Cricetulus griseus: one gene and its partner. The protein of the gene in region 1 interacts with the protein of each later gene in a pairwise test. Links are inferred from orthologs where the notes say so. Each region holds a gene or a part of one and is shown in the gene's direction. Other genes may lie near its edges.

Region 1 (4,122 bases):
CAATGCTGGCAGGCACTAAGTGATATCCACCGATACCTCGTCTTGCAATTTACACCGCCGCCGCAACTCTGACCCAGATTTCAAAGGGCTCTGCTAAGACGTGTTTATGCAACAGCAGTTAATCACGGAAAAGGGTTCGATGGCCTAAGAGCAAAAATATGGGATGTCTTTGCGTATTTGGGTCACGGTGCTCTGTCAGCGCTCACCTTGGTGCAGCACCAGCTAGTGTGCCAAGTGCCACAATGTATCGCAAGTTATGGATGGCGTGGGGGTCACGGCTGAAACGGAAATAACTTAACTGGACCTACGTTCTCCACTGGGGTTACCCCGGAGGGCACCTCGGGCCTGGGGGGGGGGGGGCGCAGTAACTTTGGACCGCGTCCTGGAGGCGCACACGAGCCCCAGGCTGCAGCCCACCCGTGGAGCGGCCCGCCCTGGGCACCCGCGTCTGCCGCGCACAGCGTGGAAGGCGGAGCAGGGCGGCCGTGTGTCCGGCCTGGCTCCGGGGACGGGGCCGCGGCCTCCCTGCACCCACGCCTGCGGGCTGTGGGCCCCGCGCTGGCGCTGGCGCTGGCGCTGCCCCGCGTCCGTTCCCGTCTCCGCGCCCGCCCGCGGTGGCGCAGCTCCAGCGGGGCCCAGAGCCGGGCGGGCGGCCCCAGCCCCTTCCGCCCGGGCACACGCTGCGCTCCTCAGAACCAAGTGCCCGCGCGGGCCGCCGGCCACCGGGGCCGGGTCGGGGGACACCGGGAGCGCAGGCCCAGCGGGCCAGGCCGCTTCCAGCAAGTTCGCCGCCGGCCGTGACGTCATTTCAGGGCGCCGCGGCGGCGCCCCGCAGAGACCCCGGGGAGCGGCTCCCGACGCAGCGGGGGCGATGAAGCGAACCGAGTTAACTCGCTGTCCCCTTCCCCCTGCCGCCGCCGCGGCTGCCTTGGAGCCGGAGGAGCCCGCGCCCCTCGTCAGCCCGGCGGCGGCGCGCGGCGGCGGCAGGCGTGAGGCGGGCGAGGACTCGGCTTCCCGGCGTGCCCCGCGCCCCTGAGTCGGCGCGGCGGCCAGCGCGTTACCCAGCGTGCCCTGCGCGGCGCCGGCGACGGACGTGGGGGAGGTGCGGGAGGAGGAAGCGGCGGCGGCGGCGGCGGCGCGGCGACGCGGAGACGGCAGCCGAGCCATCGATCGCCCGCCCGGGCCCGCACCGCACCGCACCGCACCGCAGCCCGTGCCCGCGCGCCCTCGGCGGCCCCGCCGCAGCCCGTGCCCGCTCCGCTCCGCCGCGCCGCGCCGAGCCGGCCGCAGCCCGCAGGGTCCCGGTCGCCTGAGTCACCGCCATGGCCGAGAGCGCCGAGAGCGGCGGCCCCCCGGGCGCGCAGGACGCAGCCGCGGCCGACGGCGGCCCCGCGGAGCCCAAGATCATGAAGGTCACGGTGAAGACGCCCAAGGAGAAGGAGGAGTTCGCTGTGCCCGAGGACAGCTCGGTCCAGCAGGTGAGGCCCCGGGGCGCCGGGGCGCCGGGGCGGGGAGGGCGGCCGGGCCCGGCCCTGCGGGGCTCTGCGGGGCTCTGCGGGGCCGGGGGAGGGCGAGCGGCGGCCGCCGAGCTCCGGGCCTCGGCTCCTGACAAAGGAGCGGGCGGGCAGGGCGCGGGCGGCGCTCGCTCGGCCTCTGTGGCCCGGCTGGCGGGGCGGCGGGGCGGTGAGGTGAGGCGGGCGGGGCCCGGTGGGGGTCATTGTTTCACCTGCCGGCGAATCGCAGAGATTTGGGGGTGAGGAGCACGTGCAGGCTGCGTTCTGTGTTGTGTGTCCCCCCCACACCTTTCAGCCTTTTATTATATATACGCTATTATATATATACATATATATTTAAAATTGTGACGTGGAGATCGCTTTCAGTCAGCCTGGTGATAAGCTCACGCCCGAGGGAGAAAAGTCAAAGACTTTGATTCACGGACGACTCGCTGTTTCTGTCTCAATAACCTTCGTCATCGCCCAGCCGCTCGCCCGCTCGCCGGCTCGCCCGCCCGTCACGGGGCAGGTTATTGTTCGACTCCAGGGGGACGAGAGCCATACCTACCTGCCGGGGTGTTAGGTGGTTGCCGCCGGACGCAAGAAAACAGAATTGGTGTTAACGGGGAGTCTTACTAAACAAATAATCGCTTTAAATCCCGTTCAGGGAAAGCAAATTTTGCAGCTAATTAAGAGCCCCTGGTAAAAGTTAGCAGATTTATCTGTTTAGCACGTTCTAGAGCACTCGGATTGTTGACAGTCTCAACATCGTGGACGGTTTTGTGCGAGGACGCAATTAACAGGCACTGGAATGTGCCTTTAGGTTCTCTGAACGTTTATCTAGTTCCAAAGGTGAAGTCGTTTTTTTTTTTTTTTTTTGTTTTTGTTTTTTTTTTGTGAAACAGGAGGGTGTGTGGCATCAGCTGAGGGAACTACTGTTGACTGAATCACCATTCCTTGTTAACGCTGCTGTAAAAGGTTGAACGTCTTTGTGTTTTCCAGCATGTGTGTGCCTCACCCACGATTGACATTTTCCTGCACTTGCTGTGTTATGCGTCCCTTATTTCTAAAATACATTTTTAAGGTGTAAATACCGATATCGGTATCACCTTACAAGGCACGTAAGCCGTGTGCGTGTTAGTTAACTTGAAAACCACTGTTGTGGAAATTTATTCCACATAAATTTGATGTGCACGTGGGTGCCTTAGCCAGTTTTCACAAACCCATCTACACCTGTGCCAGCCAAGCACACAACTAGGTGTGGCCTGTTAGAGCTGACTTGAAAGCTTTTGTCTCACCTTCTCTTTAAAGAAGTCACTCTTTGTCACCCCCGTGGGGATTTTTTTTTCCCCCACCAGAGATTGATTTTGCCTGTCCAGAAGTTCACATACGCAGAGTTGTATATAATGAAATCTTTTGGGAAAGACTTTTTTTCTTTCCCTCTTCAGCATATTTTTGAGATTCATCCTTGTGAATGTTTGTACCCCTCCCACCCCAGATGTTTGCATACTAGGCACAGGCTCCACTCTACCACTGACCCATGTCCCCAGCTCAGTACCTAACTGCTCTGTGGTTTTCCATAGCATGCATATGCCACAATCTACTGTCCAGGGTCTTTCTCAATTGTAGTTGCTGTGAACAGTCGCATATAAATCATTTTGACAATATATGCCTTTATCTGCATTAGAATGCTTCTGTTTACTTTTTGAGTTTTGTTGTGGTGCTGTTTTGGTTTTTCAAGACAAGAGTTTCTCTGTGAAACAGCCTTGGGTGTCCTGGAACTCTATAGTCCAGCTCAGAGATCCACTTGCCTCTGCCTCCCTAGTGCTGGGATTAAAGGCCTGTGCCAGCATGCCCTGCTATTTTGTTTGTTTTATTTTGAGACAGTGTTTCATTATGTAGCCCCAGCTGTCCTGGAACTTGCTTTGTAGACCAGGCTGACTTGGATCTCACAAGTGCTGGGATGGATTGAGGGCTTGCGCCACCTCATCTGGCCAGTTCTGTTTAGTTTTATAAGACACAACCAACAGCATATGGGTGTGTATTTCTCTTGTTCTGTATCCTTGCTAATATTTGCTATGTACAAGGTTTTTTTGTTTGTTTGTTTTTATTTTTTATTGTAGCTGTTTAATGAATGTGTAGCGATAATAAATCATGAAGCTCTTGAGTCTAAGATTCCCAGCTTAAATTTCCATCCTGACAGCTTCCCCATTTTATTTCAGGACTTTAGAAATATAATAAATGAAAAAATTATTTATGTGAAGATTTGTAAGATTTTTTTTTAAAGAGTGACACTAAAGTTTTAAATTCCGTAGAAGTTTATATTTCACTATGCTGTAACTAAAAATGATTTAATGGGTAAAAGTAAAACCTTCCTAAAGTAACTTACTCTGATATTGCTTAATGTTTAAAGCTTTCTCTGTTTTCTGTGGAAACAGAAAATGTGATGAAAGTTGAAAGCTTACCCCTGTACCACAAACGGAAAACACATCAAACTGCTGAGTGAGTCAGGGGAGCAGACTTAGAAACATGTACAAAAAAAATATAAAACTATTTGTAGCACAAGACAAGGTCTACCATTTTGTAACTTAATTTTTCTTATAGAATTTAGTAGGTTTGATATTTACTA
Region 2 (4,117 bases), on another chromosome or scaffold:
GCAATGACTCCTGCCAACATTCAACATTCAAACTGATCAAAAATCTCTCATATACCGGCAACCAACTGAGACAGGTAGAAAGTAGGACTCAGCCAGGAATGACGTTTTTTTGAAAGTAAGACTTCAGGGACGACAGAGAGATTCAACTTGTCACTTCCCTGCCCGGGAATTCATAATATTCATGATATTCCTTGCTGGCCCCTCTGAGAGAGCAGAGGTCCCTTAGTAACTTCCGACCGGTCCGGGACAGGCAGACAAGGCGCACGAGCGCCCAGTGCCTGGAGCAGGGTTAAGATTTGACCGAGGACAAAAGAACGCTTGCCAATCAGAAAAACGCTATCCCAGAAGGAAAATAACCCCTCTTTGTGTCTCAAAAGCCCTTTAATTAGCAAATGCCCTGGTTTCTAACGCGCTTTAAAACTTTTCTATGTAGATTCCAAATGCAAAGATCAAATGGTTGCTTCTGCAACGAAAACGGGACCCCCGAAGGCCACACAGGGCAACCGAAGGCGCTCAGTAAATCGTACGGAGAGTCCCGGGTACTCGGTCTCAGGTTGCTTTCATAAGCATTCCCCCAGCACTGCCTTAGCGTCCTCCAACCCCACCCCCAACCTCTCGGGCTCCCTACGCTCCCCACAGTGCGCGCGGGCGGGGTGGCTGGCTCTTGAGTCCCGCGCACCCCCAGCTCTGGGCCCTCTCCTCCGAGGGTCTGCACTTCCTCCCGCCACAAGTCCCCACCTCGGCCGACTCGGGTTTCTCCTTCCAGGAGGCCCCCTTCTTTGTAACTGGGGGGAGGGAGAGGGGATTGTGGTTTCATGTGGTCGTTTGGGTATGGGGAGAAAAGAGCGATCTTCAGTCGCAGCCCCTTCCCGACCCACACTGATGCTAACCAAAAGCCTCCCGCCCAAGCCAGCCAGGCTAACGTGACTCTGGGTCACGTCTCTCCGCCCAAGCGCTGCGCTATTCTCAGCGTCTCGCCGAAGCCTTTGGCGAATGCGCCCTTCTGCTCAGGAATGTGTGTTTTAGGGTATCCGGAAGAGGAACCAATCTTTCAAACAAATTCCCTTTCTGGTGCGTTCTTCTCCCCTGAGCAAATTCTGGGTAAAAGTTTCTCCTAACTTTTCTCTCCCAGTCCCCCGCCCCTCCCCTCAGGAATCCGCCCAGAGCGCTTCAGGCACCGCCTTCCTCGTTCCCTCGGCCGCCCCTTCCGACTTCCACCCAATCGGAAGGCGTCTACAGAGAAAACAAAGCGCGCTATTGGGCCTCCGGAGGGCTCGGGGCCCGCCCCCGGAGTGGTTTGTGAATGGGGGGAGGGGAGGGGGCGGGGCGGCCCGAAACCCTGCGAGCCCGACGCTTCTTCTAGCCACCAGCGCGGCTCCCAGGCGTTACTCTGCGCTCCTTCCCTGGCGGGCGGCGGCGGACGCGGGGACTCGCCGGCCGGGACTGAGCCGGCAGGAGAGGCCGAGAGCAGACAGGCCGCGGGTGCAGGAGCCTCGGCGCTTGGGATTCCGCGCAACTGGGTTTCCAAAAAGAACTCGCCCAGCTCTTAGCTCCTGGGGACCGATCGGACTCAAATTGAGAACCAGACGTTTGACTGAAACTTGGGGCCGACCTTCCCCGGGCTGAAGGAGGCTCGAGGTTCGGAGGAGGAGGAGGAGGAGGCGGCGGCCCGCGGGGCCTCGAGGCGAGAAGGCGGAGCTGCACCGCCGAGGCGGCGGCCGGGGCGAGCAGGCGGGGACGCGGGGCTCTGGTCTGGCGGAGGCCCTACCCGGTGTGGGGACGTGGGCATCGCCGTGCGCCCGGGGCTCGAGAGACTTGGGCAAACTTTGAAAGGTAACCGGAGACGCTTGGAGCCCGTCGCCCAAGAGAAAGCCGCACCGTTACGTCTCGGCGGGGAGGGTAAGGCGACACCCCACCCCCGATCCCCCAGCCCAGGCCCAGGAGTTTGAGCCCCCGGCGGCCGCGTGAGTGCCACGCGGAGGCGGCTGCGGCGCCCCCTCGACTGGCGGCCTCGCCCCCGCCGTGCAGGCACCTAGCGCCCTCGGCTCCGCGCCGCCCACGGCCCGGCCCCGGCGCCGGGAGGACTCTCATGCGCCGGGCGCGGCGGCGCCTCCCTGCATCCAAGCCGCTCCCCAGCGCCTCGTCTTTTTCCCCCAGCTGAGAACGCCACTGCACTCGCGGCCCGCGATGCGGGGCCCCGGCACTGCGGCGTCGCACTCGCCCCTGGGCCTGTGCGCCCTGCTGCTGGCGCTTCTGGGCGCGCTGCCTGCGGGCACCCGGGCTCAGCCGTACCACGGCGAGAAGGGCATCTCGGTACCGGACCACGGCTTCTGCCAGCCCATCTCCATCCCGTTGTGCACGGATATCGCCTACAACCAGACCATCTTGCCCAACCTGCTGGGCCACACGAACCAAGAGGACGCCGGCCTCGAGGTGCACCAGTTCTACCCGCTGGTGAAGGTGCAGTGTTCTCCCGAGCTGCGCTTCTTTTTATGCTCCATGTACGCGCCCGTATGCACGGTGCTCGACCAAGCCATTCCTCCGTGCCGCTCCCTGTGCGAGCGCGCCCGCCAAGGCTGCGAGGCTCTCATGAACAAGTTCGGCTTCCAGTGGCCTGAGCGGCTGCGTTGCGAGAACTTCCCGGTGCACGGCGCCGGCGAGATCTGCGTGGGCCAGAACACGTCTGACGGCTCCGGGGGCGCGGGCGGCAGTCCCACCGCCTACCCTACTGCTCCCTACCTGCCAGACCCGCCTTTCACTGCCATGCCCCCCTCAGATGGCAGAGGCCGGTGGTCTTTCCCCTTCTCGTGCCCGCGCCAGCTCAAAGTGCCCCCCTACCTGGGCTACCGCTTCCTAGGTGAGCGCGATTGCGGTGCCCCGTGTGAGCCCGGCCGTGCTAACGGCCTTATGTACTTTAAAGAGGAGGAGAGGCGTTTCGCCCGCCTCTGGGTGGGTGTGTGGTCGGTGCTGTGCTGCGCCTCGACGCTCTTCACGGTGCTCACCTACCTAGTGGACATGCGGCGCTTCAGCTACCCAGAGCGACCCATCATCTTCCTCTCGGGCTGCTACTTCATGGTGGCCGTGGCGCACGTGGCGGGCTTCCTGCTGGAGGACCGTGCCGTGTGCGTGGAGCGCTTCTCGGACGATGGCTACCGCACGGTGGCGCAGGGCACCAAGAAGGAGGGCTGCACCATCCTCTTCATGGTGCTTTACTTCTTCGGCATGGCCAGCTCCATCTGGTGGGTCATTCTGTCCCTCACTTGGTTCCTGGCAGCTGGCATGAAGTGGGGCCACGAGGCCATCGAGGCTAACTCGCAGTACTTTCATCTGGCCGCATGGGCTGTGCCGGCAGTCAAGACAATCACCATCTTGGCCATGGGCCAGGTGGACGGGGACCTTCTCAGTGGAGTGTGCTACGTGGGCCTGTCTAGTGTGGATGCGCTGCGGGGCTTCGTGCTTGCGCCCCTCTTCGTCTACCTCTTCATCGGTACGTCCTTCCTCCTGGCCGGCTTTGTGTCTCTCTTCCGCATTCGCACCATCATGAAGCACGACGGCACCAAGACCGAGAAACTGGAGAAGCTCATGGTGCGCATCGGCGTCTTCAGCGTGCTCTACACGGTGCCGGCCACCATCGTGCTGGCCTGCTACTTTTACGAGCAGGCCTTCCGCGAGCACTGGGAGCGCACCTGGCTCCTACAGACCTGCAAGAGCTACGCTGTGCCCTGCCCTCCGGGTCACTTCCCGCCCATGAGCCCCGACTTCACAGTCTTCATGATCAAGTACCTGATGACCATGATCGTGGGCATCACTACCGGCTTCTGGATCTGGTCTGGCAAGACCCTGCAGTCATGGCGTCGTTTCTACCACAGACTCAGCCACAGCAGCAAGGGGGAGACTGCGGTATGAGCCCCGGTCCTTCTCCCAACCTTGCCACTTCTCCCTCCTTGTAGGAGGAGAGGCATGGTAGGGAAAGAACTGCTGGGTGGGGACTTGTTTCTGTAGGCTACCCCCTCCTCCACTGAGCTTTAACATGGAAGTGAGAAGTTAATTGGAGGTGAGAAGAGATTTGGGGTTAGAGGTGGTTTTGAGAGAGGGCCTGAGTGAAAAGTCAAAAGGC

The links.
Region 2: the proteins of Ubqln1 (region 1) and Fzd7 interact in binary tests that used the Homo sapiens proteins (3 or more experiments, as listed by UniProt). The two-hybrid records come from large-scale screens. The link is inferred for Cricetulus griseus from reciprocal best matches to the Homo sapiens genes UBQLN1 and FZD7.

The regions. Positions count from the first base shown.
Region 1 is NC_048596.1:277,235,694-277,239,815, reverse strand, and holds the start of Ubqln1 (ubiquilin-1), read left to right. Parts: upstream 1-1,322; coding exon 1,323-1,478; intron 1,479-4,122. Other genes in the region: translation initiation factor IF-2-like, read right to left, coding at 295-1,032, 1,076-1,324. UniProt on the Homo sapiens protein: Plays an important role in the regulation of different protein degradation mechanisms and pathways including ubiquitin-proteasome system (UPS), autophagy and endoplasmic reticulum-associated protein degradation (ERAD) pathway.
Region 2 is NC_048595.1:413,755,493-413,759,609, forward strand, and holds the start of Fzd7 (frizzled-7), read left to right. Parts: upstream 1-1,317; 5' UTR 1,318-2,187; coding exon 2,188-3,906; 3' UTR 3,907-4,117. UniProt on the Homo sapiens protein: Receptor for Wnt proteins.